4 linked regions of the Lepisosteus oculatus genome follow. The protein of the gene in region 1 purifies or fractionates together with the protein of each later gene. This does not show direct contact. Links are inferred from orthologs where the notes say so. Each region holds a gene or a part of one and is shown in the gene's direction. Other genes may lie near its edges. The genes, in order: nck1a, wipf2b, git2a and wasb.

What was found.
Region 2: the proteins of nck1a (region 1) and wipf2b purify together in Homo sapiens (co-immunoprecipitation; 3 studies listed by BioGRID and IntAct, with this or other methods). This does not show direct contact. The link is inferred for Lepisosteus oculatus from reciprocal best matches to the Homo sapiens genes NCK1 and WIPF2.
Region 3: the proteins of nck1a (region 1) and git2a purify together in Homo sapiens (co-immunoprecipitation; 3 studies listed by BioGRID and IntAct, with this or other methods). This does not show direct contact. The link is inferred for Lepisosteus oculatus from reciprocal best matches to the Homo sapiens genes NCK1 and GIT2.
Region 4: the proteins of nck1a (region 1) and wasb purify together in Homo sapiens (affinity purification with western blotting; 4 studies listed by BioGRID and IntAct, with this or other methods). This does not show direct contact. The link is inferred for Lepisosteus oculatus from reciprocal best matches to the Homo sapiens genes NCK1 and WAS.

Annotation. Positions count from the first base shown.
Region 1 is NC_090708.1:14,745,017-14,752,853, forward strand, and holds the start of nck1a (SH2/SH3 adapter protein NCK1), read left to right. Parts: upstream 1-4,692; 5' UTR 4,693-4,848; intron 4,849-7,837. UniProt on the Homo sapiens protein: Adapter protein which associates with tyrosine-phosphorylated growth factor receptors, such as KDR and PDGFRB, or their cellular substrates. Maintains low levels of EIF2S1 phosphorylation by promoting its dephosphorylation by PP1.
Region 2 is NC_090723.1:9,664,324-9,672,000, forward strand, and holds the start of wipf2b (WAS/WASL-interacting protein family member 2b), read left to right. Parts: upstream 1-4,544; 5' UTR 4,545-5,097; intron 5,098-5,116; exon of another isoform or gene 5,117-5,462; intron 5,463-7,677. UniProt on the Homo sapiens protein: Plays an active role in the formation of cell surface protrusions downstream of activated PDGFB receptors. Plays an important role in actin-microspike formation through cooperation with WASL.
Region 3 is NC_090717.1:5,720,787-5,728,501, forward strand, and holds the start of git2a (ARF GTPase-activating protein GIT2a), read left to right. Parts: upstream 1-4,507; 5' UTR 4,508-4,755; coding exon 4,756-4,807; intron 4,808-7,715. Other genes in the region: ankrd13a (ankyrin repeat domain-containing protein 13A), read right to left, coding at 432-477, 1,010-1,134, 2,679-2,814, 3,618-3,710. UniProt on the Homo sapiens protein: GTPase-activating protein for ADP ribosylation factor family members, including ARF1.
Region 4 is NC_090697.1:77,233,889-77,241,629, forward strand, and holds the start of wasb (WASP actin nucleation promoting factor b), read left to right. Parts: upstream 1-4,634; 5' UTR 4,635-4,829; coding exon 4,830-4,937; intron 4,938-7,741. Other genes in the region: slc38a5b (sodium-coupled neutral amino acid transporter 5b), read left to right, coding at 1-28, 1,276-1,380. UniProt on the Homo sapiens protein: Effector protein for Rho-type GTPases that regulates actin filament reorganization via its interaction with the Arp2/3 complex. Important for efficient actin polymerization. Possible regulator of lymphocyte and platelet function.

The DNA of each region.
Region 1 (7,837 bases):
GGCTTTACTTACATGACATTTATTTCCCAGTGGAATGGCAAATACCACAGCCACAGAAAGATAGATACATTTTGATCCCAGACAGATTTTGGTAACTTTACATAGAATTGAACATAGAGGTGTAGTGACATTAAACATGCTTTCAATTACAAGAATCACAACATGAAGGCTATTCTATTTCATGAGTTAAATTAAACTCAATTAAACTTCACAAATGATATGCAGCATCACTATACCTCAGCCATGGAAAACATGTATATTTTGAAACATGTATATAAATAATACATTTAACAAATAAATAATATCCATCTACCAGTTCCTAACCGCTCTTTCTAATTCAGTGTCACAAGGGAGCTGGAGCCTACTGTATGTTTATATTTAATCTTGTTTTGGTTTACAGTGTTATTTCAGTTTACTAGAAATAGTCCCTACTAGTATTTACAAAAAGGGAATCTCAAAATAACACTGTAAATTAAAACGAGCAGTTGTATTATCTTCTGATATAAAATACTGTATATCCTTATTAGAAGTCTCTTTAAATAGTTCTGCTTTCCAACATTGTGAAATTAATATTTACATTTCCAAACTTTCCTAACAATTTAGTATAAATTCCAATGAGAGACAGTATCCCAAAATGGGCACATACCAACACTTAAAGCTAACCTCAATGTGAATATCTTCCTCTTCTAATTTAATAGTTGAGAAACTGTAAGACTAGTATTAGTCAGAGGTTTATCGTTTTCATAACCCTAATTCAACTCAAACCCCAAAATTCACCTCAATGTCTGCTTCTCTCTCTTTAATTTGAAACCAAAATTCACATCCAAGACAGAAAATGCCATATAACCATGAAGAATTTAGTTTGTGTTTTGCTGAAATTGACTTTTAGTTTTCGGGAGAATATCACTGGAGTAAGTAAGAACAATATTGAAGTCCAATGTGGGTAAGGCTTCAAATATTATTTGTTACAGGGCTAGTTTTACATTTTTATAGTTAGACTACTATATACTGTTAGACTGTCATTGAAGTAGTATTTGTACTTTAACTTTCATTATTTACTATATATACTGTACAGAATAAGTAGCATTTTGATTCTGCCTATAATTTTTGAATTTTTGGGAAAGATTTAGTATTGCATCCAGTGAGTGCCAGTAACTCAAAATGGGCACATACCAAACTTTAAAGCTAACCTCTATCTGTATATCATACTTTCCTAATTTCAGCACTGGAGACACAGTTTTACTGACAGCCTTATGGTTCTCCGAACCCTAGCCCTTAACCCTAATTCAGCCCATATTCCAAAACTCACCTCATTGCCTTCACAACTTTGAGATTCATTTCAGATCACAATTCACATCACATTATTGGAGAATATCAGTGGAGTCCAGTGAAAGTAAGTGAAATCCAAAGTAATTAAGGCGTCACATATTATTTCAAACTTGGGTAGTTCTACTTTTTTACAAAAAGACCAAAGACCTTAGATTTTGTATTTTGTATATGGGATATTTGTGCAGCATTAAGAAGTACTCAGACATAACATTCACAATATTGTATTCCTAGTTTGACGTTTTGGGATATACTGTATTTTGTATTACACCCAATGACAGCCAGTAAGTGAAATGGGGTCAATAAAAATGATTGAAGACAAGCTGAAAGTGGACATAACACTCTCTTCCTTTTAGTATTTAAGATTACCGACAAAGAAGTATGTGTGCTTTAACTACGATTTGTTGTTAGTTGAGTTATTTGCTTTATTTTGGTCCTATGTAGACATTTTGGGTGACATTCTTGCTTTAAAAAACATCATGAGCCTGAAAGTTGCTTCATATTAAAGAGATAAAGAGATATACAAACTTAAATAAAATGTTTCATTGTATAAATGGTTGACAGTAATCTCCACACCATGTTTTATAGGAAAATATATTTCAGGAATCAAACACTTAAGAAAGAAAAACCTGAACAACAATTCATCTCTTTTTTTGAAGCAATGACTTACAACAGACAAAAAACAGTTTCTGTGTTTTGAAATGAGCAGCAGGTTTTTAGAAACAAGTTGTATTTCCCAAACCTGACACTAACAGTATCAAAACAAACAGCTGGTTATCCCTACATTGATACTGATTCAGCTTTTGCATTCCATGTCATGTTACATTTTGATATATTGCTCATAGAAAAAGAAAAAGTTTAACAAAACAAATTAGATATGACTGGAAATGAGACATTTCTTGTATCCCACTTGATGTAAAAGCGTCCATTTTAGTGGGCTGGTGGTGAAAAACATTGTGTCACATTAGGGACCATTAAATGTCACCACGCTTCTTGAAAATGGCAATTATAAAGCAATCAAAGTTTTTTTCTACTCATTAGTGGTACTAGATTAGACACCAAAGACGTTTTGCAATATGAAATACATTATTATCATTAGACAACATTCTAAGGAACAGGACACAATCCATAGATGTTATCGTATGGTATGGTAATTTCCTTTCCCAGTTAAATGCAGCATCAGAATAAATAAACTAAGCCTTGTTTTTAAAATAAACCTTATTTGTTTTTTATGTAGAAATTAAATGTTTATCTCTGTATAAGTGCTTTTCCATTTTGCTTCTGTTACCAAAATAAACAAAAAAACATTCTGAACATCAACCCAAACAGCAAGACCTTATGATTAAGGTTTCAGTAAAACAGTAACAACCTTCTGCTGAGCACTCTAAAGTATTTGAATCGGCTTTCTAATAACACTGACTCAGTAAAGGCATCTGAAAGGTCTTTGCAATATGTTTTTACAATATTCTACCATCATCTATCTCCTGCAGTTAAATTCATGTTGGTTTGGTGTAGCACAGAACAGACTTGAAACATGATATCTGTGGGACTAACGGGTTCTGATTTTATATTGTAATGATCGAAGGATGAAATCGTTTTTTAGAAATTCGCTTTCAAGTTCATTGTCTGTTTTCTCCTATTATAGTAACCACAAAATCCTGACAAATCTCCTGAACAAGCTTTGATAAGTTATCATTGTGCAGAATCCATCAGGTTTTCAGCTTTGCTACTTACTTAGGAATGCTTCATATAGGCTGTACAATGTACTGGGAGTCATTAATAGTACTGTGGGTAAGGGTGGGAGCTTCACAGAATTAACTTCAAGCCCACCCTTTACATTTGAAGAAAAATAAGAACAACCAAACAAAATCTAACTGGCAGTTAATACTGTCTTAAGCAATGGAAAACCACCCACTATAATACATTGCAATATGATCCAACAGTAGATAGTTTGAGATTTCAGTCTGCTAAGTGTACAAACTAGCCAGTAATCAAGGCCATTATGACTGAATATTACCAGTCAGCCTCTTCTGAAGACATCTGTTTTTGAATTAAATATATCCCATGGTATCTGTTAGCAAATGTCCTTAAGATAATTGTGTCGCGTTCTTGTATTTTTTTTAATTTTTCTCTGCATTATTAAATGTCATTGTTGGCAGACTCTATGAGCTGCTTGCTAAGCCTAAAACAGAATTAGGTCATCACACAGAATTCATTGAAAACAGAGGATTAAGCAATGTGGCATCAATCAAGTGAATAGTCACTATTGATACAGTGAGCACTGGATCTTAAAATGCAGTGTTTTACGTCGTTCATCTTCAGTGCCTGTAGAATAAAACACACAGCAGACGCGTCCCTTTCTTATAGAAAGACGGCAGTGAGAGCGACCCCCGTTGCTATCGTTATATTAATTACATAACAAATTAGGACAACTACAGGTACAGAGCGAATTGTTATCTACTTGAATTTCACCAGTAAAACGACAAACCTGCTAATCTGTACGAGTTATCGAATTATTAACATTGCACAGATCTCAATACTAATACAGTACATACTGTATACACCCATTTATGTTAAAAAAAGCTTAGTGAAATACAGGATCACGGTGGACCATGTGTTTATAAAACATAGATAAGACTTTATTTATCCCGAAGCGAAATTGATGTCAAAACATGTATTTCGCTAATAACTGTCCTACCCAAACTGTCTGATTTTCCCATATTGCTCTGCCAAATGATTAAACAGTATGTACTTTCCCATAAAACACAGTACTACTCCAAATATAGCATGGATCTCGATACTTGAGGAATACATTCTAAACCTTTGTGTCTCTCAAGGTTATGTTTTGCGAAGGACCTCTTGTCATCACTAAAAGTGCTCTTTTGAAATCAATACTTTTTTTTAAATTTCTCCGCCTGGTCATCGGTGGTGGCATCCCTACTAAAAGCAAAGGGGTTAACACATAAAAAAAAAGAGTGCAGTCAGACAATGACGTGACAAGTTTCGGGGGGAAAAAAGTTACAGCCCCGTATTCACTAAATCATGATCAATGTGTCGGACTCAAAATCGTTTTTTTTTTCCCAGTGCAGAGCTGTATCGCAACATTATTTGCCGATACAACGTTCACCCTCTCCAGCGGGGATCCCGCAGTAACACGGGATCTACAGCGGCTTCTCCATGTCTAGGCTGTTGCTTGCAGACAGTAGAACTTGCTACAGTACCTACCTTATTCTGCAGCCTCCCTGCACAAGCTGGGCGCACATGACAGACGGGGCGCTTGTCCAATGAAAAGAGGACGTCAGCCAAAACAGCCAATCGAAGGCAGCACGGGAAGGCCTCTGGAAACAAGTTAGATTGCAGAGAACATTGACTGTTGTGTGGAGTAAGAGTGCCGAGACGTACTGGTGCAAGAGGAGTATTGATATTGGTCAGACGTGTTTGTGTACGCTTACGCGTTTTATTGAGAATTTGTGTCTTTTGGTATTTGAAATTCGGGAACTGGCTCTGATCCCCCGGGCTCAGGTAGGAAGTTGAAATGAGTAATTTTTTTTTAATAAAAATCTTTGTTTTGATTTAGATGTCAACGTCTTGTGTTGTAGAACGCTATCTGCTACAGATGGAAACTTGTGTAACTTTATATTGTATTAAAACCAGAAAATACAGGAGATACAAAATTGCTTTTTGCTATTTTTTGTCGGTCTTAAGAGAGATACGATTTCCCGTGTGAAATGTGTATTTCATGTGCAGATGTTAAGGAATTAACAAGTTGGTGAAGTTATAATGCGCTGATTTATTTGAAAATGGAACAATCAACAATACATTTCTCAAAATTGAACTAATGGTTTTGTTGGATTACAACTCCTTTTTGTTTCTTTTTGGACTTAAACGAATTTTCTTTTCACAAGACGATGGGTGCTTTGACTGTGTTATCCACGACGACGAGAGGTGACGTTTTAGTCCTGTTTGCTTTCGGGGAAAATAACAGTCCTGCAAACCTCGTTACTGCTCTCCACGTCTCCAGCGAATTACGGACGCGGCTCTGTAGAATGGGGATAAATAGGTATCATTGTGGTACCTTTTATGCACAAGGCTTAATTGGAAAAAAAACTGCTGTTCAAAAGTAATAAAGCCGAAAATGTTGGTTTTGAAAAAAAAAAGCAGTTTCGAACAAAGCAAAGCACATTCTGCCGGGCAGATTACCAATTGAGTTTCCCCCCCACCCCCCTCGATCCTGGTTCGTGGCTTTGTCCTAAGTTAGTTCGGAAAGTCGGAGGTTGAAGGAAAGAAAAAAAAAGGATTTTGGCTGCTTTGCATTCTACGTTTTGCTACTGATTCAGTAGAAATAGAAAAGGTCTTAACGAATTATGCACAATTTTTCTAAGAGAGAATATCGGTGACCTTACTGTATACCGTATAATCTTAATGGGAATGCTTTTATCTGCTTGGTTTGTTTGAAATCGTTTGTCGAGCTGCCTACACAGATTCAAAGTGTTTTGAAAAAGTCTCTTTATACTAAAGACTGTTTCACTGCAATTGCATGAGAATGGCAGGGATATCTGCTGTGTTTCTATGGCTTTTGCCCTTCCTGCTATTAACCTCTACTGTTTATAAAACAAACCAAAAACCTAGCAAGGCCATCAAACATCCCCCAGTCCGACATCTGCTGTAAACAACAAAATGTGGGAATCTGAGGAAGGAATAACATCTCCCATGTATAGTGTTATAGCTCTTTCACGATTAAAACGCTGTGTCATTTAACATTTGGACCTGCTGTGCTGGACCTGCCTGAAATATGTGAGTTAACTGTGAACTCCAGATTGTTATCTTTAGAAACCTAATGTTGGTTGACATTTAGTCTAAAGTACCGAAATCCATCTGAGGCCAGTCCCATGATGTTGAGCCTTTGAAAATCACTGCGAGCAAAACCTTTGTTTTGTTCAAAACAAGATGGACTGTATGCTAGGGAAACAGCTAATGGTAAGGAAACAGTCCAGTATTACAGTAATGACAGAATGATCTGATAATACAGCGACTTGCTTATATATTTCTTTCTTGATAATGTATAAATCCAATCTGTGTCATGTTCAGTGCTTTATCATTGGTCTGGATTTCCGGTTATAGATGTTGCCAAAGATTATGGTATGGGTTTTTTTCATTTGAATGGGTGTCAGAATGGGAGTGATTTCCTCCACAGAATGCACACGTCATGAGATCGTTGCTTGACAATCGGATGCCAGAAGATGAAGGAGTTTATTTTTGTTTTAATAATGAGAATACATGCTGGCTAACGTTAACACGCTAGTGATTAACCTTAATTAATAATGTTAAATGCTTAAAGGCTGTGGAGAATCTGTAATAAAAAAATGTGGTCACTGTTTCTGCTTCTAATCGCTACAGTGGAAAAAATATTGCAGTTTATGCCTTCATATGTCTTCTGCTGAATAACGCAACAGTAGAAGCCAGAAGTATTTGGCTTTAGTATTCGGCTTCAGATAGTGTGAAACACACTGGTGTATAGCAGGAACAGTAGGAATGTCTTTATGTGGTAACAAATAAACAGTTTAAAAACTGTTCAGGAATTAAGCTATAACATTTTACAATACTCGAAAAAGCATAATGCTCCCAATGTAAAAGAAACAATATGATTGATTCTTTCACATTTTTTGTTTCATTGCCTGCAGCAGAGATCACTTTTCTATCTGCACATCATAGTGTTTGGTGAGCTGAGCAACATGTTTATTTTAAGTTCATGTCTCTTGAATTCTCATGAAGTTTCCATCGAAACATTCTGACTTACAGCATTGCACGGCTCCGAATGGCCAAGCTTGGCTCTTAATAAGCAGGCTCATCTCCATGAGATCTAAATGATTTGCAAATCGCTATCCCCTTTGCTTAATAAGGCTTACGGTGGTGATATATCACCAATACTTGAAAAGTATTTTATAAATCATTTTGAGAAAATTTGTGATTTTCAGCAGCTAGCATTTGATCATTTGATTTATTCAGCAAACTGATTACGCTGGTTTTTGGCTTCAACCTTTTGATGTCTCTTGTTGGTAAACATCACCTTCTAGTAAACTGGGATATATTCTAAGTGAATGTATCAAACCATAGTTGTATACAGTTATCATCTTTTAGTGCGTTTTGATTTTTAAAAAATGACTACATGAACTAGGCTTTGTGTTTGTCTTTGTGTATTTAATTTTCTGTTCTTTTACTTATGTTTCATAGAATTCTTCAATGAATAAGAGTTTAGTAAGTTAGGCTTAATCCTTCATCATGCTGAGTCATGCATATACTGTAGCTGAAGTTTCTAGTTTCTGTAGCGTTATTCAAATAGAGAGTACAAGACTATCTGGATGGGATGTTAGTTCTTTGCAGCATTGTTGGTTCAGTACATGTCTCTGTATCTTGACTGACTGAAGCCATCAGGGCAAAATCTCAGTGCATACCTGCAGTAGTAGTGTGGTCGATGGGTACTCAAATTCAGAAACCTTTCACAATAAAATAA
Region 2 (7,677 bases), on another chromosome or scaffold:
GTCAGGCTCCTACCCTGTTCATTGACACTGGGGAAGACGGTCAGAGCAGCTCTAATCACAGATTGGGGATGGGGGTGACGATGTAAATAACGAATAGATTCCCGACAGTGACAGAGCCATGGAACTGAACTGTCAGTCTCCTACTGCTGTGCAAGCTAGGCACAGATCTAATTGAATTATCCTCCTGGAGCACAGAAGTTGCAGGGCCAGTATCTCCTGCGACTACAGCTCCCGGTACTGTGCTGTGCAGGCTGAGCCCACCCCGGCAGCCCAAACGCTGAACCGAGCTGGCTGACTGTCGCCCTCTGCTGCACAGGCACTGCAGTGCTGAGAGGGGCATCTGCTCCAACACTGCACTGTCAGTGCTGGCCAGGGTGACGTAGGGTGGCGGAGTATTCTTCTCCAGAGAGATGCAAAGATCCCAGATCCCAGCTACCTTTTCCTAATTTGAATCAGGCACTTACAATGGACAGCTAATGCGGTAGCCATCAGGGGTCCTAAATCGGGAAGCCTCGTATTCGTCCTGTGATGATCTGTGCACACACACTTCCTGGTGCAACCCCTCTGGCTACCGCGTGCTTTGTATCATAGCAACTGTAAATATGTACATAGCAACAGAGATGGAATCTTTATTTTATGTATGAGCAGAGATGGTATATAAAAGAGATTTTTTTTGTACATGTGGCTTTTGATAAAGTCAGAAATGCTAATGGTTTGTACATTAATATCGTAAAAGCAAGGTGTAGAAATTGAAGACTGTATATCATACAAAAAACTTTTTCTCCTTTTTTTGTAAAGAAGTCAGTGTTTACAATCTTCCCTTTAAGCTCAGTGGTGTAAAACACAGGTAAACATGGAGAAGCTGGCAGATTGTCTTCATGTATAAAACGATGATGACCAAAAACCTGACGGTCTTGAGTGTCTGACACTTCGCTCTGAATAAACTGCGTGTGGCGCATCACAAAGATTGGCTTCTGGCCTTTTTCTGGTTCCCATTTAATTCCTAAACTCTCTGACAGCTGCTAGGGTGCTTTTTATTACAGTGATTTTCAAAGCAGTGTGAGACAGAAGCCACTACAGGTTGAGGCTGTCTGGTCTTGCGCTGAGTAGGTCTGTGTCAGGGATGAGACTGAGGCTACACCAGCTTCACAGTCAGGGACAGACTGAGGCGACACCTGCAGCACAGTCAGGGACAGACTGAGGCTACACCAGCAGCACAGTCAGGGACAGACTGAGGTGACACCAGCAGCACAGTCAGGGACAGACTGAGGCGACACCAGCAGCACAGTCAGGGACAGACTGAGGCGACACCAGCAGCACAGTCAGGGACAGACTGAGGCGACACCAGCAGCACAGTCAGAGACAGACTGAGGCGACACCTGCAGCACAGTCAGAGACAGACTGAGGCTACAGCAGCAGCACAGTCAGAGACAGACTGAGGCGACACCTGCAGCACAGTCAGGGACAGACTGAGGCGACACCTGCAGCACAGTCAGGGACAGACTGAGGCGACACCTGCAGCACTGTCAGGGACAGACTGAGGCTACAGCAGCAGCACAGTCAGGGACAGACTGAGGCTACAGCAGCAGCACAGTCAGGGACAGACTGAGGCGACACCTGCAGCACAGTCAGAGACAGACTGAGGCTACAGTAGCAGGCTCTGATGGCTGAATGCAAATATCATCTAGCATGAATAAGATCTAAAGTAATGTGAGGGTTGTGAATTTGCATGGGACTGAGGTAACCATTCATTTTTTATTCCCAGTGTGATGTGTAAAATAAACAATCTGTGGCATTGTGATGTCTTATCTTCTGTGCACAGAAAGGAAGACAAAGCTCTGTCTATGCTCGTTATACTTTGGCACATAACTGCATAGATCTGTAGAAGAGTCTTACCAATCACCACTGCACGGGTTTGCATGGATTCACAATCTCTCACCTTTACAAACCTGGTTACTCAAATCAGAAAGCTTTTTGTCCCAAAGGATCCGAAATTGCTTAACACACAGGAGGGGACCCACTTCACCCCAAGACAGAAACCCACTGGTCCCAAAACATCTCTCACAGCAGCGACTTCAGATTACCTTAGAAGTCTCCAATCCAAAGAGAGACCAGGCCCAGCCTTGCTTAGCCTTCTGAGATCTCCAGGTGGGACTCAGCTGACAATGAGGCTGGAGAGTCTCCAGCAGGCTTGTTAGTTGAGTAAACAGAACAGCACCACGGAACAAAGAGCTGCCCTTTCAGCTGGTTTTGCATGGTATGGAAATTCACACAGACAGCTGAAATGCAAGGCGGACCACAGCCCAGTCAGAGTGAAGGACAGGGGGAGTCAGGGAAGGAGAAAGAGAGCAGGAGGGAAATAGGAAGAGAGATATAGCACTGCTAGAGCACCACAACTCAGACCCAACCACTTCACAGCACAGATCAAACAGTAGGCAGTGGGTGGCTCTGTGGCTCAGGATCTGCACCTGTAGCTCGAAGGTTGCTGGTTCGTATCCCGCAGCCGGCAGAGGAATCCTACTCTGTTGGGCCCCTGAGCAAGGCCCTTAACCCCAACTGCTCCAGGGGTGCTGTATAAATGGCTGACCCTGTGCTCTGACCCCCAGCTTCTCTCCCTGTCTGTGTGTCTCATGGAGAGCAAGCTGGGGTCTGCGAAAAGACAAATTCCTAATGCAAGAAATTGTATATGGTCAATAAAGTTATCTTATATCTCACACACTGGGACACAAACACAACACAAACTGGAATTCTACAGAACCCTAAATAGACAATACACACTAGCCAAACATTTAACCAAGATAAATAAAAGCAAACAGAAACACACCCTGACGGAGTACAGATTCAGTGACCACAGCCTGGCCATATAAGGACCAGACCTGGCTGCCCAGAGAGGACAGGCTGTGCTCCCACTGCCAGCGGGGAGAAATATAGACAGAGGTGCACTTCCTACTGCACTGTGACAGATACTCTAGGAGTAGAGAAACATTCTTCCCCAAATTGACACATCTTATCCCAGAATTCCCACACCTCCGTTGAACTGGCAGCCCAGTATGTGATCTCCTGTCCCAGCCTGAGGAACAGTGAGCCTGTCTCCCGATAATGCTCCATATGTTTATATGTAAATATCTTATGATTGTGGCTTTATTGTAAATGTCTGTAGGTTTTGGTTTTTGTTAATTTTATTTGTTTTGCTTTGGCAACACTGAGTGTACTCATCAGTCATGCCAATAAAGTACCTTGAATTGAACTGAATTATTGACTGTGTCTGCTGAGGCAACCCTGTAAATTTACCGGTCGTGCCAATAAAGCTGTTTGAATTTGCACGGGGTGGGGCAGGGAAGAAAAGGAAAATGGAAGGAATGAGGGAGGAGAGAGGAACAGGATATGCAGCCGTATCACCCTGCAACTCACAACTGGCAGCCCACTGAAGCTAAGTATGAGCCTGGTCAGTACCTGGATGGGAGACCTGGGAAAAACTAAGGTTGCTGCTGGAAGCGGTGTTAGTGGGGCCAGCAGGGGGCGCTCACCCCGCAGTCTGTGTGGGTCCTAATGCCCCAGAATAGTGACGGGGACTCTATACTGTAAACAGGCACCGTCCTTCGGGTGAGATGTAAAACCGAGGTCCTGACTCTCTGTGGTCATTAAAAATTCCAGGGTGTTTCTTGAAAAGAGTAGGGGTGTAACCCCGGCGTCCTGGCCAAATTTCCCATTGGCCCTTACCAATCATGGCCTCCTAATAATCCCCATCTCTGAACTGGCTTCATCACTCTGCTCTCCTCCCCACTGAGAGCTGGTGTGTGGGGAGCGTTCTGGCGCACTATGGCTGCCGTCGCATCATCCAGGTGGGGCTGCACATTGGTGGTGATGGAGGGGATCCCCATTACCTGTAAAGTGCTTTGAGTGGAGTGTCCAGAAAAGTGCGATATAAGTGTAAGCAATTATTATTATAACAGGAGGAATAAGTAAAACAGAGAAGGAGATGCAAGAGGGAGAGAATGAGACTATGAAGGCGACAGAGTGCGGCACAGAGCCTGACAGTGTCCAGTGGGGGACACTGGGGTGATATAAACCAAAGATCACAACCTCACCTACTGGGAAAAACTGGACCTCTGCTGGCTTCAAAAATAACAGAACACACTGGCCAAGTGTCTGACCAGTGTCAGAGACAACAAGCAGAAACAGACACTGATGAGTGACCACAGCCCAGACATAGCCTGCCCTGTCTGCCTGTCTCGCTCAGTTCCTGTGCTCCCAGTGCCAGCATGAAGGAACAGCGAGCCAAACACACATTCGGCCGTATTTCAAGATTTCCTCCTGGACTGGAAACACATTATGCTTCAAAACAGCAACTGTACAGAAATGAATGTTATATTTGTAACCATTACATGAATAAAACCAGGATGAAACAAAACCTTCGAGTGACAAAATAATGCAAAATAAAAGAAACCGCTGTCGTTATCGTAAACGCGTGTGTTGTGACCTCACCAACATGGCTGCACCCCCTCCCCTTATGGGCTCGTGTTTTTGTCGTCATCACCGCCCCGCGCAGGCGCTCTCGGCCGCGCCCGGCGTTCGGCGACTCTCGTCAACCTTCGGCTCTCGCCGGGACGGTTCGGTCCCCCCCCCTCCACCTCCACATATTTATTTGAAATCGGCTCCCTTCCTCCATTTTGTTATGCAGGAGATTCCATTTCCGGGTTTTCCACCGGAGGAGCGACACAGTGTGCGGGAGAGGAGACCGACGGGGCCGCGAAACGCAGGAACGGAGCAGAGGAAGAAAACAGGGCCCGTTGTGAACCGAGCGAGGGGGCAGGGAAACCGGGGACCGACGGCGAGTCACTGAGGCCGCGGTGACCAGCGGCTCCGCAGGCTCAGCTCGGCTCAGCCAGCCCGCGGTCCAGACTCTCAGGCCGAGTGCGGCTCCCCAACCTCACCGGGCCTCCAGCGCGGGGGAGCAGGTGAAATCTTCCCCCCCAGCCCCGGGGCACAATGCCCCTGTGTTAGCCTGCGGGTCTGCGGGCCGCCCGGCGCCCCCCCCTGTCGGTGTGCTTGCGGACAGCGGACGGGAGAGACTCCGCCGCCGAAGCCGCAGGAGAGGTAAGGGAGGCGGGCAGCCGCCGCCGGACTGGGAGGGGGGCAGGCACGGAGGTGCGTGAATCTCCTACCCACGCGTGTGCGAGACACACGGGGGGCGGGTCGCCGTGTCGGTTATACCTGTTCTTGAAGCAGCTCAGGTGGGCAGCTGCGTCAGCATGCGTAGGCTGCAGAGGAGCAAGTCCTAGGTTTATTCCCACCCGAAGAAGGCTCCACGGCCGAAACGTTGTGTTTTCTTTCTTCTTTTATCAGCGTGGAATAAACCTGTTACTTGTTCCTGTACCTGTTTTCTGTTGTTTCCTTGTTCTCTGGGCCACTGCCAGAGCCCAGCCAGCCCCGCTCCCTCTGATGATCAATAAGAGCTGATTGTGAGTAACAGGGTGATCGATACCGGCCACGGCAGGTGTGGCGGCGTGGGTGTTTTTTTTTCCCCCAAAGGAGACGTGAGAAAGCGGGGTCGGTTCGGCCCGGCTCCGGTTCGGCCGGTTCCCCGGGTGTCGGGTCGCTGTTTTTGTGACTACAGCTGCTCGCATTCCTGCTTGTGCAACATCCCGGTGCGTGACTGCAGGCTGAGTCGCGGTAACATATTTCCTTTTTACCTATTTTAATTCTCGCTCAGGTGTGAGCAACCAGCCCCCCTTTTCGCTGATCGTGGGTGGTGGGGACCCCCGTGTCACCTCCACTCCGTGTTGGCTTCGCCGTGGGTTTCTGTCCCCGCAGTTATTTCCGTGGTTCAGTAACACGCCAAAGTGCTTTTGCTAAAAAGCTCTCATTTTAATTTGCCTCCGCGACTATGAACTCCGAGTAGGGGGTTTGGGGGTCCTGCGCTAGAGGTGGAGGGGTGATGGGTAAGTGAACAAGGTGACAGGTTTTGTTACTTCGTGATCGCGGGTGGCCGGGGGCAGTCCGGTTGAGTCACACTCATCAGAGCGCACTGCCCAGCAGGAGGGAGATACTGTCCAAATGAATGTGCCGAGGAGCACAGCGCAGACAGGTGTGTTCGCTGTCATCAGGGTAAGGGACTTGGGGAGAGGCTTGCGTAGGTGGACTGAGGCACACTGAGCACAGATGGCTCCTCGCAGGTGAACAGACAGGGTGACCATATCTCCCCACGACCACTAGGGCACTGAGACGGGATCAGTTTGTTGTTTTTTTTTACCTGGAAGATTCGATCTGGTTAATAGCCCGTTTGCTGGGGGAGTTTGGGATCTTTCATTGCGGTGTGTGACAAACGAGGAACGCGCTTAATCATGAGGAAGACCTGTGGAAAGGCTGAAAGTCGGAGAGAGGTCATTCTGGACCTCTGAAGTGTTTGGCGGCCTGCAGTTCGTTGAGTCCCAGGGTCTTTTGAGCAACAGCTGGATGAGAACCGGTCCAAGAACAGCTGGGCAGCTTGATCCGCCCCCCTCTGGGTGTACAGTAGAGCCCCCTGTGCTGACTGGAGGATTTCACCCAGCTGTGTCTGGAGAGAAGCCAGTGTATCGGCTTCAACAACACTAACAATCAGCACGTTTCCCGCTCCCACCACCCTCTGCGTAAAGAGCCTCCTGCTCCCTCCCGAGACTGCGGGCTCGTGTTTTGGTGCCGGTGAAGAAGGGCAGAGGGCCGACTTTGGGAGCTTAAGCGCTTTTTCCTGCTGACGATCAGTTTCCCCTGTGACGAGATGCAGAACTGAAACCGCGTTTTAATTCTCGGAAGAAAAATGTTGGTTTCAGCATTCGGGACTGCAGAATGAATCTGTAATCTGTGGTTCCGTGACTGTCACAGTGGCGTCATAGTCTGCTTCTTACCTTCTGGTGGCTGGGGAAACGCATCACTGGCAGCTTCTCCCCCAGTTGGATGGGATGGAGGGACGAGCTGCCATTCACTGAGAGGCATGCGAAACGCCTTTGTCGCACCGCACTGAGGCCTCCAGATTTCGTACAAGTGTGTCACAGTTGAAAGTCTGTCAGTGTGGGGAGCAGGGTGAGGATTGGCGGGGTGTCGTGGTCGCCCTACGCAGAGATGTTCTGTGACGCTCCCAGAATACGTCTCGACTGGTGCCAGGAAAATTGCCCTTCCCTGAGCCGCACTGCTGTCCTGCGACGTGCCGGCCTGGTGAGTCTCTAATCTCCTGTGCACCGGTGACGGCCGGCTCTGAGCGAGAACAGATCGAGGCAGCTGTGTCATGTTGTGCCAGGCAGCGGAGAGTGGAATCGTAGATGCCCGGTTTTATTTAGGTTTTGGTTATCTCTGCAGGCACAACAAGGCCAAAGGTACCCTCTTCCCCGCAGGGCTCTCTGCGGCCATTCCTGCCTTGGTGCTGCCTTTGCTCTCCATTGGGATCAACTGGACTGTCGGTAAAAAAAAGTTTGGCATGATTTGTGTGTACACAATACACAAAAATACACATCCCCTCTGTCCTTGGCGGTTGTGCTGAAAATGTAGTGACTTGACGGTAGGGGTCCTTGCCTCAGGATGCTGAGCGACACTTCGGCCCAGCCTGCGCTGGTTCCGTGGGGCCAGGGTCTATGGAAACGGGATCTGTCTGCGAACACCTGTTTTATGTCTCAAGTGCAACTGCGTGCCCTGCGGAAACTGCTG
Region 3 (7,715 bases), on another chromosome or scaffold:
AATAAATACTTATCGCAGATTAAAGTTCAACAGGAAGTATACAGCATCCATCAATTTTCAGTGACTGCTTTGCCCTCATACGCTCCCAGCGAGATAACCAGCATAAGGCAGCACGAACAGGGAGAAAAGGACTATACCCTAGACAGCACACAAGTCCATCGCAGGGTACACACATACTGTACACCCAGACGTCAGTTTGTCTTGGGTCTGTGAGAGTAAACCAGAGCACCTGCTGAAAACCCAATGGGCCAGTGAAGAGTGTGCAAACTCTACACAGGTAGCACTCCAGGTTCTGTAGGAATACAGAACCCAGGAGCTGACAACACCACTGTGATGCATCTTTCTTTCTCAACAAGCCTAACAGAAATACAAAGAGAGCCCTAAATATACCCAAAGGCAATGTTGGCGCTTTAGCAATGTGATTAACTTACTCCAGCTCGTAAACTCCCACTTCATTTCCATGTAGAAATCAGGAGACTAAAAATAAAAATACACATTAGTTGGTCACAGAGTGTTCAGGATATCATAGTTTTAAACATATAGGTCCTACAGGGGTCTACACATTTTCTGAAAGCATTACCTAAACAATACTGTCATTACAAAATATTCCAAGAATAGACGTTCCTTCTTCGTTTGTTCCTGATTTATCAGGTCTTCATTATAAAGCCCACAGGTAGTACAGAAAAGATATTAAAACTGCTGATATATGGAAAAACCCTGTAACAGCAGAGAAGTGATTTTTAGCAGCTGTGAAAAATGTACAGCTGCTTTCAGACAGTACCTTATTCCCAATAACATTCTGAAAAACACTAAAAATGTCCCCTTTCATAACAGTGCTAAACTACGTCTAATTAGTAGATTTCCCTGCATGAAACTCGGCTGCATCTTGGGAAGAGTTAATGGATAGGTACCACAGGACAGGGAAACAGCATATATATGAGGAAGCACTGAGGTTTTTTTAAGCTGTGGTTCACTGCTGATGAAGTGACGGGCAGTGTGAGTGTCGCACCTCGTGGATCTTGCACAGAAGCTCTGGGACTCCTGCCAGGGCAGTGGAGGCCTTGAGGTAGTCTCTCCTCTGCAGGACCAGCTGCACCATCTCTGGGTCCCCGGTGCTCACTGCCTCCTGCAGCACTGCCAGTACGGCACAGCCATGCACAGACACAAGAGGAGCACCGCAGACTGTAAGTGCTGAGCTCATTTACAAACCTTCAGTTACATCATTATAATACCCTAACGCTAATGTAGCTCTTTTCTAGACACTCTGCTCAAAATGCTTTACAGGTAATGCGGACTCCCCCCCACTAATGTGCAGCCCCCACCTGGATGATGCAACAGGCAGCCATAGTGTGCCAGAACGCTCACCGCATGTCAGCTGTCAGTGGGGAGGAGAGCAGAGTGATGGCTTCATCAAGTTCAGAAATGGGGATTATTACGCCATGATTGGTAAAGGCCAGGGGGAAATTTGGCCAGGACACCAGGTTTACGCTGGGATTTTTAATGACCACGAGGAATCAGGATCTCAATTTCACGTCTCCTCTGAAGGACGGCGCCTTTTTTGTAATAAAGTGTCCCGCACGCTATACTGTGGCATTAGGACACACTCAGATTGCAGGGTGAACACACCCTACAGGTCCCACTAACACCTCTTCCAGCAGCAACCTTAGTTTTTCCCAGGAGGTCTCCCATCCGGGTACTGACCAGGCTCACACCTGCTGAGCTCCAGTGGGCCGCCCGCTGTGAGTTGCAGGGGGATAAACCTGCTGGCAATAATTCAATGAATTCAGTCAATTCGCACCTTAAAACGCCCAGATGACAATCCCCCTGCAGAGGTCCATCCTCTGCAGGGGGATTGTGTAGACTATTTATTTTCTAGCCGCTTCTTCCTTTTCAGGGTTGTGGGGGAGCTGGAGCCCATGCTGGCCAGCAACGGGCACAAGGCCGGGTACACCAGTCCATTGCAGCACCCACACAGACACAGACACATTCATGCCAGGGCCAGTTCTCCCAGAAGCCAATCAACCCGCCAGCTTGTCTTTGAGCACCCAGTGAACACCCATGTGAACATGGAAAGAGCATGCAAACTCCACACAGACAGCACCCCAGGTCTGAGTTGAGGCCATGGCTCCAGAGCAGTGAGGTAGCAATGCTTAACCAGACCCTCAAACAAAAGCCCTCGTGCTTAATTTCAGCTCAATTGCACGCTATGTGCAAACCCAGAGATATTTTGTGATGCATGTTTGTTTGCGGAAAATGTCAGTGTATTAATTATTGTTGTAGCTGTTATAGCTGCTCTTTTAATTTAGCAATTGGAAAGCCTAGTTTGGTCTGCATCTCACTTGGATCTATTAATTACAGCAAGTGTCTGCCAATATGTGGGGGCTGATTCTAATAGCAAGCGTAACGCGTCAGCAATTCCTTTCAGACCAACTGATGCAAATGACTACTTATTTATTGCTGGTATTTCCTGTACCACATTGCAAGCATGAAAAAAGAAAACTATGATTGAAGAGGAGAGTGTGCAATTTATTTGAAGATCAAATATCAGGAGTGTCCCATTATGTTTATGGGTTTCCAATCCACAATCAATCACATGGTATAAGTTCACACCAGCTCCACCCCCTGTTAAAACCTAGAGATGTTCCGGCGCTCTAAGAATAACTCGGGGGTTCTCTCACCTGTCCAGCCCTTAGCGTTCTCTTTGGTTACTTCGGCACAATGCCTCAGGAGCACTCTTACTGACTCCAGATGCCCCAAAGACACTGCGAGATGCAAGGGTGTACGGCCACGAGGGTCAGGCTCCTCGATATTGTGCTACAAAAAAATAAAAAGTCAATTACTTCTATAAACTTACTAACAAAAAAGCCCCCCCCCCTTGCTCCTCTGAGCACACAATCTCACAATAAATATTCTAACCCAGTGTTGCGAGATAGGAGGCACTGCAGAGGAGGAAATATCCTTCCACAACGTTTCTGTAAAACCGCAAGATTTAGACACAGGCATTGTTTTGTAAAAAAAAACACATTTATACATCACTTATAATTAATGCATGAATATTATTCAGTGAAATAAACCTGACAGATCAGACCTATTCGTTTCACTTTCAGACGAAAACTTAATACTACAACTACTAACCCTGCCAAACTAGAGGAATCATTGTAGAAAATAACAATTGAACTTAATTTTTCACAACAGCCCGTATACACTACAGTTCCACCAAACGGCCAAACTGTGTGTGGGAATATTACAGATTCAAAACTTAGATCACTGCGTATCTCTCGGCTTCAATTAATAGAAAAGTCGTCAAGCAATGTTACATCCATCAAGCCAAGATGATCTCGTCTTGGACACAGATGGACTCTTCTCTCAGAAACAACAGCGCAGTACACATCAGGCGCACATTTTGGTCAAGGCTGCTGCTAAAACCCACAGTGTTCAAATGACGAGGAAATCGATTATTATTTTTTTGCAAGGCTAAAACTAAGTACAAAGGTACTGCAATTGAAGTCGCAAAAGTAAGCGTGCTGAGTTAGTAGCGAGGAAAGGCGATCATCTCACCCAAGTCAGTGCACACTCGCGGTCATTAAAATAAACACGCCACAGCTCTATGTACGTACCTTCGTGATCTCTTTTTCCAATTTTCTATAGTCATTTTCCCAGACTAAAGAATGGAGTGGAAACTTAACCCTGAAGTCTTCGGTGGCGGACATTCCGTAAAGCTGAGTTTTCGCAGAACTGGCATGAAACAATACGCTGATGTCCTATCCCGAGGAAACGTGAGAGAAGACAAAGGCCGTCTCCGCTAGCCAAGGGTGGACGCGTGCATTAAATCACAAAAATACAACTTATACGACGCTAACTTTTCAAAATAAAACTTTTGAAAAACAAGGAAGTGACTGGTAAGGACTATTATGATCTACGTAGGGGTGTCCGCAATAACACAAGTTCGTGTTCAATACAATTCTTAGAAGGTATTTCACTATAACATTGTTAGTTTGTTGTTTTTGGAAGCCATTCTAAAAATCATTTTACTTTTTTTATTCAGAAGATAAAAACGCATATGTGTATAAAATGATTAGTTCCAAAACAAAGGCACTACCATTTTTTACTCAGGGGGAGTTATCACTCAAAGAATTAACAGGTGCCTAAAATATCACATTGAATTGTTACAATTAATTCAACACTAACCTAATACATTTCACAATGTTGCATTTATTTAATGCTTTGAAATATTTGTTTCAGATTTTAACACTCAAAAGATTGTCACATCCTATACACTACGCAACTTACCTAACTGGGAGTGCGGTGTCAGGAGGCGCTTACGTATTTGGAATTGGAGAATACGATTTTATTTACGTTCGTGACCCAGAACTCTGACAGGCGGAGGTGTTTCTTAATAATGTCCTGCCTGACGAAGTCAAGAGCCGTAACTTACGTAGAGTCTTATCTCCGCCATTGCCGGAACGCTAGGAATATTCCGTAGTTTCCGCGCTTGAATGCGAACGGCCTCGGCTACTGTGCGCGTTCACGTTGGTGTAGAGTTTCCGTCCTTAGAATAGCAGCAGCTTCCCGTCTCTGTTGTGTTAAATAAAAGGGAGGCGGAAAAAAGACGAATTATTTTGTGCCCGTCAGGATTTTCTTCTTAGTGTACGTAATAGTGAGGTCGCAGCGGAAACCGCGGATCAGATGAATATAGGAGAATAACTAAAACGTTTAACTGACCTTTAAAAAGGGCCTTTTATTTGGAAAATAAGGATGTCAAAGCGGCTTCGGAACAGCGAGGTCTGTGCCGATTGTAGCGTTCCGGGTAAGTGACAAAAACACCAACAGAGTTGACTTAACAGTCATCATTGTTTCACTAAGAGAGGCAATTTCTGCAGTCATCATGTTAATTGCCTCTTACCCCCTTAGCAAGATATTGCACCCTTTAGTGGTTCGTGTAAAAGTGGCGTTAACCTTCAGGTAGCATCTGTTGAATTGCGAGGTACAGCGCTGGCTTTGTAATTTTTCTAAGAGGTTTTGCAAAACCTGTTGTAATTATGCATACATATAAATGGGATCTGGAAATCGGAAACTGTTGGGTGACTTAAAAAGGGCCGTTCTTTCTGGACGCAGGGATGTAAATGTGTTTTTCCGGTTTGATTTTGTATTACTGCTACTCGTAGGCGATTTGATTTTTGCAGCTGTTAGAATTGCACAGAAAACGTCGTTGTGAAGTCAGAAGGGCTCAGTGCTGTGGGCCGTTTTTGTTCTGATGAACTAATCTCTGGGCTGGAAGCTGGTCTATAGATATGTCAAAGTAGCTATCAAATCAGACTCATATTTGACGAGTGTTGTTGAGCTAATCTTTTGGGTCGGTGAAGTGGCAGGAAAACACAAACTCCATTTACTTGCATTCAAATAAAGAACGTTTCCAAGTATCACTACAAACCGTTAAATACAAATGCTTTGGGGAGGATATCGTTTTCAGAAGCTTGACTAAAGACTAGGTCTTTGGTTACAAATTATGTCTGTGTGTTTATGTGGTGAGAGACAATGACTGACATTTACACCACTGTGAAAATGTTTTGTGCTGTGTTGTTTTGTGTAAAATCCGTGAAGTTGATTCATTGCGCATTGTTACAGTAAGTCATAAAGTGCCTGGAATATGACGTGATTACATTTATGGCCACAAAGTTAAATTCATAGCACAACTGAATTTATTGTGTATCACTACAGATGTTTTTTGAATCTCTACTTTTGGCTGGATGGCAGCTGTGATTGGAAAGTAAAGTAGGCATACAGTAGAGTAGGCAGATTGATGGTGACAACAGGTTGGAATCTGCCCTGTAATTAGTCAGATAGATGCTGAGCTGAAAGGCCGCTGTCCTCTGAGTAACCTCCTACTTGATTTAAGAGAGACTGACAGTACTTTTAAAAGCAGCAAAATGATAAGAATGCTGAAGCAATAATCAGGTTTCATATGTAACATTTGCAGGACTTTGGGAAGATACTGATATTCCTGAAAACAGCTCTGAACCCTTCTCCTTTATCATCAGTCCAATTGAATTCCACCTTATAGGTGTTTTGTTGAAATACCCAGGAAGACAGAATAACAGAAATGTCTTGATAAAAGTAGGCTTTCATTTTTCGTGACCACAGCATTTAAATAGACAACAGACATTAACTTTAGTAATAACCCTGATTCTCACTGGAAATTAAACTAGGATTTCTTAGGTGTAGCCAAAACCAGATTTTTGCTATCTTTTTGACAGTGTACATGACCTAACTTATTATATTCACCCATTGAAACAAAATGTTCTGATCTTGCATGTTTTTGTTTTCAGCCTAACAGAATCGGCCTGTTTGCACACAGCCGTAGACAGACCGACATTTTAAAAAAAAAGTATAAATGGATGCCTTTTGTTTTCTTAGCATGCTGGAAATTTTGAAGAATCTTGAGACCATTCGAAACCAAACTCCCTAAACTGCAGATACTGTAGCAATGCAGAAGTTGTTAGTGAGTGTAGTGTAGGCAGATTTCCCTAAGGCACAGGCTACTTCCCTTTTCTGAATGTTATGGTATAATGTATTAAAAAAACACATTGGAATAAACGCTTGTTGGTAGTATGATTCATAACACACTGCTTCCTTCCAGCTGGTATTAACATGTAGAAGGTCCTGTTGTCTAGTAAATAGTACAGGAAGAACAGGATGCCAAGTAAATGAGCAAGGATCGTGCAGGAGTTGGCTTTTTAATGAATTGGCTTTTATTTTAAAAAAAGTAGTTGCTGCCTAGCTTTCTTGCAAAATCAACAGAAAAATCAGGTGTGATATACAGTAACCGTAAACACAAAGTGGAATTATTCATCTCTTACATCACAGAGGATCTTTCCAGCTATGTGTTGTGGAAATTGTTCTCTGTTTTTAGAGAATAATAAATTTCATGCAGCATGAAATTGTGCATATTTTTCTTTATCTGGAAATGGCCTGGAATTAATTCTATTTAAGCACATCTAACATCAGTACTACAGTACTTTATTTCAATAAGAATCCCTGAGCAGTTGGGGTTAAGGGCCTTGCTCAGGGGCCCAACGGAGTAGGATTCCTCTGCCGGCCGCGGGATTTGAACCGGCAACCTTCCGGCCACAGGCACAGATCCTTAGCCACAGTGCTACCCCTTCGCCCCCATACTGTATGTTCTCTTGTGCAAAGTATCTGATTCCAGGTAGAAGGTAAAATGCTAAATCAAAAGAAATATGAGGACAGAATCTTTTTTAAAAAATGACCAGGTCAGATTCACAAAGTGACTAATTAGGCCTGCTAGCATCTAAATGAGCTCAATTTGCTAAATGGCCTCCTCTCCTGTGTAACCTTTCTTACGTTCTTAAATGTGTGAAAGAGTTTCATGAACCGTATGATCGAGAGCATGGCTGTAGTAAAATGGGAAATGTGTGTTCACATTTTATAGTTTATGGAAACTAATGAAATATTTGCTTGCTTTATTTCAGTGGGCCGACATGTTGTGAATTCGTTGTCACAATGACTAATCATCTTTAAAGGTGTTCCTTTTCTTCATTTTAATTGAAATTCAGCAGAAGACCGCCCCCAAAGACTTTTAAGTTATTCTTTTGAGGTCTGGTCTTACTGAGAAGCCGCTATGAAACAGGAGGAGTTTATTTAACTGTACACACACTCCAGCAGAGCAGGGTATCAGTCAGAGGCAGGAAGGAAGA
Region 4 (7,741 bases), on another chromosome or scaffold:
ACCGCTCAAGTCACGACCCAAGATCCAGGTAGGGAGCCGTGCTGGAGTCTGTGGGGGAGGAAAAGACCCGGGTCTCCGAGAGAGACCCGGTGTGGAGCAGCTTCACATGGGCGTTTTCCTGTGATCACAAACTGCTGCTATCCCACCAGCTTTCATGCTCGTACCTGTTTATGATGGCTGGCCTCTAGTGGACAGTAAGCTGCAGCCTTGCACTAGGCAATGGCAGTATGCTCATATCGATACCAGCTGTCTCCTCCACAATCTAGAATTGTTCTCACTGTGCCCCCCTCCCCCATCTCGGGACTGACAGGTGCTCATCGCCTGGAGGATTCTGCCATCAGCAGCACCAGGGGGGAGGGCGCCCCCCCCTCTAAATGGTGCTGAGCCACTTCTGTATCTCGGGCTCCCCACTTCGCCGGGCTCCCCACGTCCCGACGAGTCCCTGTCCCAGTCAGTGCCGCTTCTCCAGTGGCTCCGTGTAGCGTCAGTCACGCGCTGCCCCAGGCGCTGGAGCGCATCTCTGGCTCTCCACCACGGACCTGCTGGACAAAGACAGGGGTTTTACCATGCCGTGAATAGCTGGAAGGGATTTCCCTTCCTCTGACTGGAGGTGAAATCTCACACCTATGTGTCCTTGTGGCTTGGTGTTATATAAGCTGTTCAGACTTGCTGGCTGGGCAGGATGGTATCACACCGCTGGGAGGAAAGACGTGGCTGGCCATACGGATGATGCTTCTGAGACTGTGCCCGTGTTTCTGCAGGGCTAAGCAGCTGACTGGTCTCCTGAATTTTGCCCCAGTATGAGACAGTGGGTGCTCTTAGGTGACAAACCAGGTGCCATGAAACACTTTTTGCAGCACAAAAATCTGCACGAGACACACAGGGGTTAGGGGCTCGACTAGTGCTGATTAATAATAACTGCATTTCCTGTATATTGCTTGTGTCGTTGTGCAAAAGGCCAGACCTCATTGCGTTTTTTTTCCATACTGTACGTGAGGCTTCTCAAGGGCCTTTGAGGAAAAAGCTGCAGCCTGAAGCAGCTCTTTCACTGTCGAGCCCACAGAAGCTGCCGCTGCACAGACCGCGGTGAGAAACACCAGTTGCGAATGTGTGTTTCTGTTCCGCTGAAGGGGAAATGCTCGCTGCTTGAAAGTGAAACCGGAAGCCTGCTGCAGAGACATGTTAGAAGTGTAAAAATCGCTGAACGCGTTCGGGGCTGCTGCAGCGCCTGTGCGCCCTGACCCTCAGGCCCCTCTTCCCTCTGTGTCGCCGCAGGCAGCCTGCTTCGCCGCGCTGGGCTTCATCTTCATGGTGATGAGTCTGTCCTTCATCTTTGTGGACTGGGTGCGGGGGGAGAGCAACAGCCACGGTGGGCACTAGCACCCCTCGACGGCGCCTGGGAAACACAGCGACGTCAGAGACCCCACCTGCCCCCCCCCCCACCTCCCCTGCCCCCACCAGCTCAGCCCCAAGTCCTTCAACTCGCTGGGAAAAAAACTGAAAAGGGCTGGACCACCCGCCACCTGCCCCCACCCTGCCCATCTCAGTGTCCATTTCCCCCCCTCCTTCACGCCAGGCAAGGCTCTCTGCTGCCCCCTTGTGTTCTGGAGGAGGGGCACACACCTCCTCCCCACAGTTCAGGTGGGTGGCGCTTTCTAAAACAGAGAACGGTGTTATAAACTCCTGCAAAACCCCAAGAGAGGTCTGTGGTTCAGGAATTAATAACAGAACAAGTGCACGAGCATCCTAGCCGATGTCGTTCTTGTGCTTGATTGCCAGACTTGTCGGTGAGCGAATCATATCTCTGGACGGTGTTCCTCCCCTCACACTATGGTCAAGAGTCTTAATTCAGCTGTTACTTATTTAACTAAGCTGTTTATTAAAATGGCGACACAGAGTTAAGTTATTTTCCTACGTGACCTTGAAAACAGATCAGCCGTATTCTCCAGGCGGCACGTGTGCTTGGTGCAGAGTAGAGAGGTTCTCTCTGTCTGAGCCTGGGATGGCCGAGCACAGCGAGCTGCACAGCGGTGAGCTCAAGGAGCCTCTAACTGTGACACTCGACCAGCGATCAGACAGCTGCTTCCTGTTACAAGGAAACACAGACAGAAACAGAGATATGTATTTACGTGAACAGTTCCACCTAGCTGAAGCACACTTTACACTCCTGTCAGAGATCCTGTCCTTGTCTGAGAATTCAAGAGCCTGTTCTTTTAGCACAGTTCTATGAAACAGCTCATTAATCTCCATAAATCTCCCAACTCCTTTCTTGGCGCATTTTCTGCCCAAGTGAGACTTCCTGCATCAGTTTCTGAAAACAGACAACACTTCTCGATGAGACAAAATGACATGTACGAGCATTTCAGCTGCATGTGGAGAGTCGTCATCTTAAAGGTCATTTTTTTATGTTATTGCTGTTAGGACAATGGAGCTTCCCAGTGGCTCAGACAGTACAGTGGCTTGTTTGGAGGGCTATAGTCCAGACACCACCAGTGTGACCGCAGACAGTTGCTTGAGGGTTTGTGGGTTTAAGTAAGAGACAATATGTCCCCAGTTCTGAGCACAGCAGTGACCCCTGCTGGTGTCCCTGAGCGGTGACACTGCGAGAGGTCTGCCCATCGTATTTTAACTGATATGCATGGAGGCACTGGGCAGTACTGCCCACCCACCCCCCAGTCCCAGAGAGCCATAGTTCCTCGGGTGTTAGGGTTCACCCTAAAATAATCAATTCCTAAACTTTCGTACACTACGTATGCAGAGGATTCAGGCAATTAAACAGCGCAGAGACCATTTGAAATACAAAACAGCCAAGACCTCCATAGCCCAACGCCCAGAGCTGGCCATTCCTGGCTGAACTCAATCAAGTAATTGGCTCAAGTGGTCGAGACCCACGTGTGTTCCGAGTCCGCCCAGCCTTCTGAGCGCAGAGACCTGGCCACGCCCATCGCTCGCTGTCCGGAAGTCTCGACTCCCTGCGGTCCGGTTTCCAACTTCACCTTCATGTTGCCGAGACCGACTACTACAGTGTTTCGACTGCTTTTATTCGAACAATTGTATCACTCCGTTGCGATGCCTTCTACACCACTCAAACTGTATTTTTAGGAACTGTTTTTTTTACCGAGTCCTCCTGTTAGAGGGCGCAAACCTCCACACACGTAGTTCCAGCAGGGGGCGACACAAAACAACAGGCTGCTGTAAAAAAAAATGAAGTTCGCCAAGAGATCATTTCAGCGCATGCGTTTTCTCCTCTGTGAGTTTAATTTAATCGGTCTGTGAACAGTTACACATCATTTCCTCAGCAGTTAATCGGTTATCGTTATTGATGGCAGCTACAGTAGACACAGGAGACAGGGGCGAACGGTGCAGTGACGTGCAGTGTTTGGCTCATGTTCACAGGAAGTGTGTATCGTACTGATGTCTTGTCCGACAGCACAGAGGTGCGTTCTGATCTTAATAAAGGTGTCACTCCGAGTGGTCCAGCTTGTTTCTGTGTGGTTATTTTATTCCTGAGCTGCTGAGCATTGAAAACTGTTTTTTTTTCCCAGCACAGTTATAATGGGAATAGTTCATATCTGTGTCCAATTTTGCAACGTCAACTGTGAAATAACAACAACAACAATAATGATCATGATAACAATTATCATCATTGTTGTCATAAATATAAATTATGTTGCTCAAACATATAACTCAGACAGATTTTCTGTGTTTTTCAGTGTATTTTTGAGTTTCCCCAGAATTGCGTAAGTGTGAAAGATCATGCAATGCGTGGTTTTCCACAAGCTTGTCACTTGTGTCAAAATGATTGCTGTCAGGTCTTCAACTCTAAAAAAAAAAATTAGCCAGGATATAAAACTGTCACCAGACAAGTTTTAGAGGTTGTTCTGAAGTTTTTTAAAAACTTCATTTTCTGGACTGCTGCCAAAGAAACTCTGGTTCATGTTACTTTCAAAACCAAGCGTTTCTCTTACTGCAGACCAGCTGCTGGCCTTCCTTCAGCGACGTGGGCCAGGTGGCCACACGGCCTCCTCCAGTTTGTGACCAGTCTTGTGCCGCCGTGGCGGCTGGCTCTGCGGGGACGGGGGAGGTGACAGACGTCGCTGGTTTCTCACAGCACATCACTGCCTGCGGCGGAGTGGGAGACTCGCGATTGCAGGAATCGTGCAGGGAAAGCGAACTCCCTCCCTCTCCCCGACTCGGCCCGATGGCCCACAGCTCGTCATTCTGAGCCCCAGAAAGGCACGTTGTTTCAGAATGCCCTTGCTGTTCCCTCAGACTGAAAGGAAAAGCAGAGAGGGGTCTCCCCTGTCACGTTAACAATACCTAACTCGAGGCACATCTTTCCCTGAGCCAGCTGCTCCTGAAATTCCACCAAAAAGCACCCGGGCCGCCAGCAGAGAGAATCCCGCCCGCGTGTTTCGGTGAAGCCTGGCGCAGCCCGTGCGGCCCGCCGTGCCCTCGTGAGCTGCAGGGAATCCCAGGAAAGAAACGGAGAGCATGCAAATCTCCCCTTTCCCTGGCCAGAAAGACACGAAAGACACATCCCCCCCCTTCACGCCGCAGAAAAAAAGAAGAAGTAGCAGAGCTGCTTTTAAACTGTGATCAGCAGTTGGGTGCAGAAGTGTGGTCACCAGCTTCCTGTTCTCTGGCTCCTGCGCAGCTCTGCTCAGAAGGCGAGGCGGAAGCACTCCGAAGCTCTCGGCTGTGGCGCGTGCACCTTCTTCTGTGCTTCTGGGAGCAGGGGAGGCGATTGCGGGCCTAGGATTTTTGGGGTTTCTGCTTTGGGGGGCGGCCCCCCGTGTTTTCTTCAGGGAGCAGCGGGGGTGGACACCATGAGCCGCGGCGCCAAGCCTTCCAAGACGCAGGAGAGCTGCGGCAGCTCCCTGCTCAGCCCCCAGGAGAACGAGCGAGTGTTTGACGTGCTGGGCAGGAAGTGTGTGGTGAGTAGAGCCGGGTCTGTGTGCTGGGGCCCCGGCGGGGCAGCGGGGCGGCGGGGCGGTCGCCCCAGGGCCTGGGGGCAGCTGTGCGGAGGTACGTTGGGCAGCCCTGCGTGAGGGCTGCAGGAGGTAGTCTCCCGGGCCCCGCCAGCGCTCAGCTCCGCTCCGGATGAGTGGCACCCTGGCTGTCTGGACCCGACAGGTGCGAGGGTGCTCGACAGGTGGGGCCGGGTGCGACGGGCGGGCCGCTGCTCGCCAGGGCTGGGGAAGGTCTGAGGAGCGGTGCCCCGCGGGACCGGGCCCCGTGGTTCTGCTCAGCTCTGTTTGAGCCCCAGTCCGGCCGCGTCGCTTTCTCGAGGAGGGAAGTCAGAGCAGCTGCGCTGGGGCGATGCTCCAGCCTTGTGGAGACACAGGGGGACTGTAGACACAGGTCAGGACTGGCTGGCTCCCAGGTGCCCTGTCTGAAGCGCCTTCTGCTGCCCCCAGGTAACGCAGACAAGCCCTTTGCTTTGTAACTGGCACGCACACTCCCATCACGCCTGGTACAGTGCCCCCGCAGTGCCAGCACCCAGCCAGCTCCGATAGCGCTCCTCCATGTTGTGATTGACCTGTTCCCAGAGGAACGAACCTGTCTCACAGGAAAGAGGCTGAGGTCTCAGGGCCGGTCTGATAGGTATCACCTGGGTCTCTGAGAACACTACCAGTAGAGCAGGGGTCAGCTGGTCAGGTGCTGCAAGTACTATGTGGAATTGCTTTTAAAATCAAGAACAGGTGGGTAGTTCTTTATACAAAGAGTTGTGGGAGTGTTGAACAAATCGCCCTGTCATGTTGTTGTAGCCGATACCCTGGTTTCTTTCCAAACAGAGCAGGACGAGATCCTGGGATCAATTAATCTATTACTAACGACCAATCAGGCTGGATGGGCTACATGGCTCTTCCTGTTTCTAGCTCATCTGCAGGTTTCAGCATGGCTCAGCTCCAAACGACTTAACTGGCCCAATCATTTTCTTCAGCACTGTAATGAAGATGCTTTCCTCAGTCATTCAGCTATAGGCTCGGCCTTTTTTTAACCTTCCTATAGGGCCGCAGTGCAGTGGCTGTAAAGCACCCCAGGTCTGAAGGCCCGCAGGTCTTCTGCTGTAGTGTGGCCAAATTAAGGAGCTCGGTTTGCATCAATATTGCATTGTTCTTATCTCTCTTCCTATAATTCCTGTTACGGGCATTTTTCTTCTCTCTTTGTGGCTGTTTCCTCGGGTGCCAAGATAACCCAAAGCTATCGAAGTCGGTCACAGATCTGAGGAAAGGGCTTGTGGGAGCTGAAAGGACAAGGGCTGGCAATCCCACAGTGCTTTGCGCCTTGGTCACACTCTACTGGGAAAGACCTCGCGCGGCGCAAGTCCGCCTGAGGCTGGCTGAGCCGTAGGGCTAGAGGAGCAGTGAGCCGTCGGGGGAATTTTACCGTGAAGTCACCTCACGCGTGAGCCACGTCTTTCGTTCTACACAGTCTGCTGACTCCCCTGCTCCCGGACTTTCTCAAACTCCTTCAGCTCCCCACAACGGTTACAACCCAGGTTAGAAGGACTGCCAGGATCACAGATAACGCGCCGGACCCTGCTGGAACTGCTCGCGAGGAGGCGCCGGGCCGGGCCGGGCCGAGCCGCGGCTGCGCTCCGTGTTTCACGCGGGCCGGGGGGTTGCTGCCGTAAACGAGCGCCACGCGTTTCACAGGCAAGAGGAAACAACGGGAGGCCGGCGGGATGCTGGGAGTTTCATCGCAGCGATTTCCACAGCTGCTGCGTCGCGGGGCAGGGTGCACACACAGAGGAAACAGGGCGTAGTAGCACACCGATGTGTATTTACACTCCCTAGAAGTTCCTGTTTTTTCTTCTTTTAAAGCCCGAGGCCTTCAACACCGTTCTAGGAAACAAGTAACTTTCTGCAGGCCTCTTTGAGCGTCTCTTGTTCTGTCCTGGATTTAAATATCACTCCCGAGACCGTCTGAGTTTGCAGAAAGCGCATGTTAAGTAGCTGCTAGCAGACGGGTAGATAATGAGGAAGTCGACGCGATGATGCTTAATTTGTTTTATTTCTAAAGGGGGAAGCAGGTGAGGTTTAAAACCATTAGACCTTTAATGGCAGTATTTAGGAACTCGGTCACATTCTGTGAAACAGTCCTGCCTTCCTTTCAGTTTTCGTGTTTGTTGTTGCTCATTTGTTGCCCATCGGTCAAGTGGGTGAATCTCACTGGAACGTCCAGCTGCTGGACCTGTTTTGTTAGGGGGAGGAGCTTAAAAGCTGCACAGTGTCCTCAGGCCCATTGGTGGTGTGACACAAATTCTCACCCTTCACTCATTCCCCCCCCTACTCCCGCAGCAGCTCTGAAGAGCCTCTCATATTATTATTTGAGAGGACCACTCTCCGTTTCTCTGTAAAGGAGATCACATTCAGGACTGCAGCTCCAGTCAGTTTCCTCCCCTAGTAGGCTTATTCTCATTCTGGCAGGAGAGGGAATTCTGGGATTTGACTTATTTCAGGGAAAAATGTCTAATCATTGAGCATTTCTTGCAACACAGCAGAACATGCATCTCTGTTTCTGTTTCTCCCTGCTTGTCGTGGAAGCACATTTTACTGGATATTTAATGAAAATGCTTTTTTTCCCCTTGTACTCTTCCTGCTTGATTTGCTGATATTGATAGATTTTTCTGGGATACTGATTTCTAGCAAATCATCAGTGTGCTTCAAGCATAATCTCTTTAAACTGTTGCCATTTTCCACTGATATCAAATCTGTTGCCACCCATCCTACAC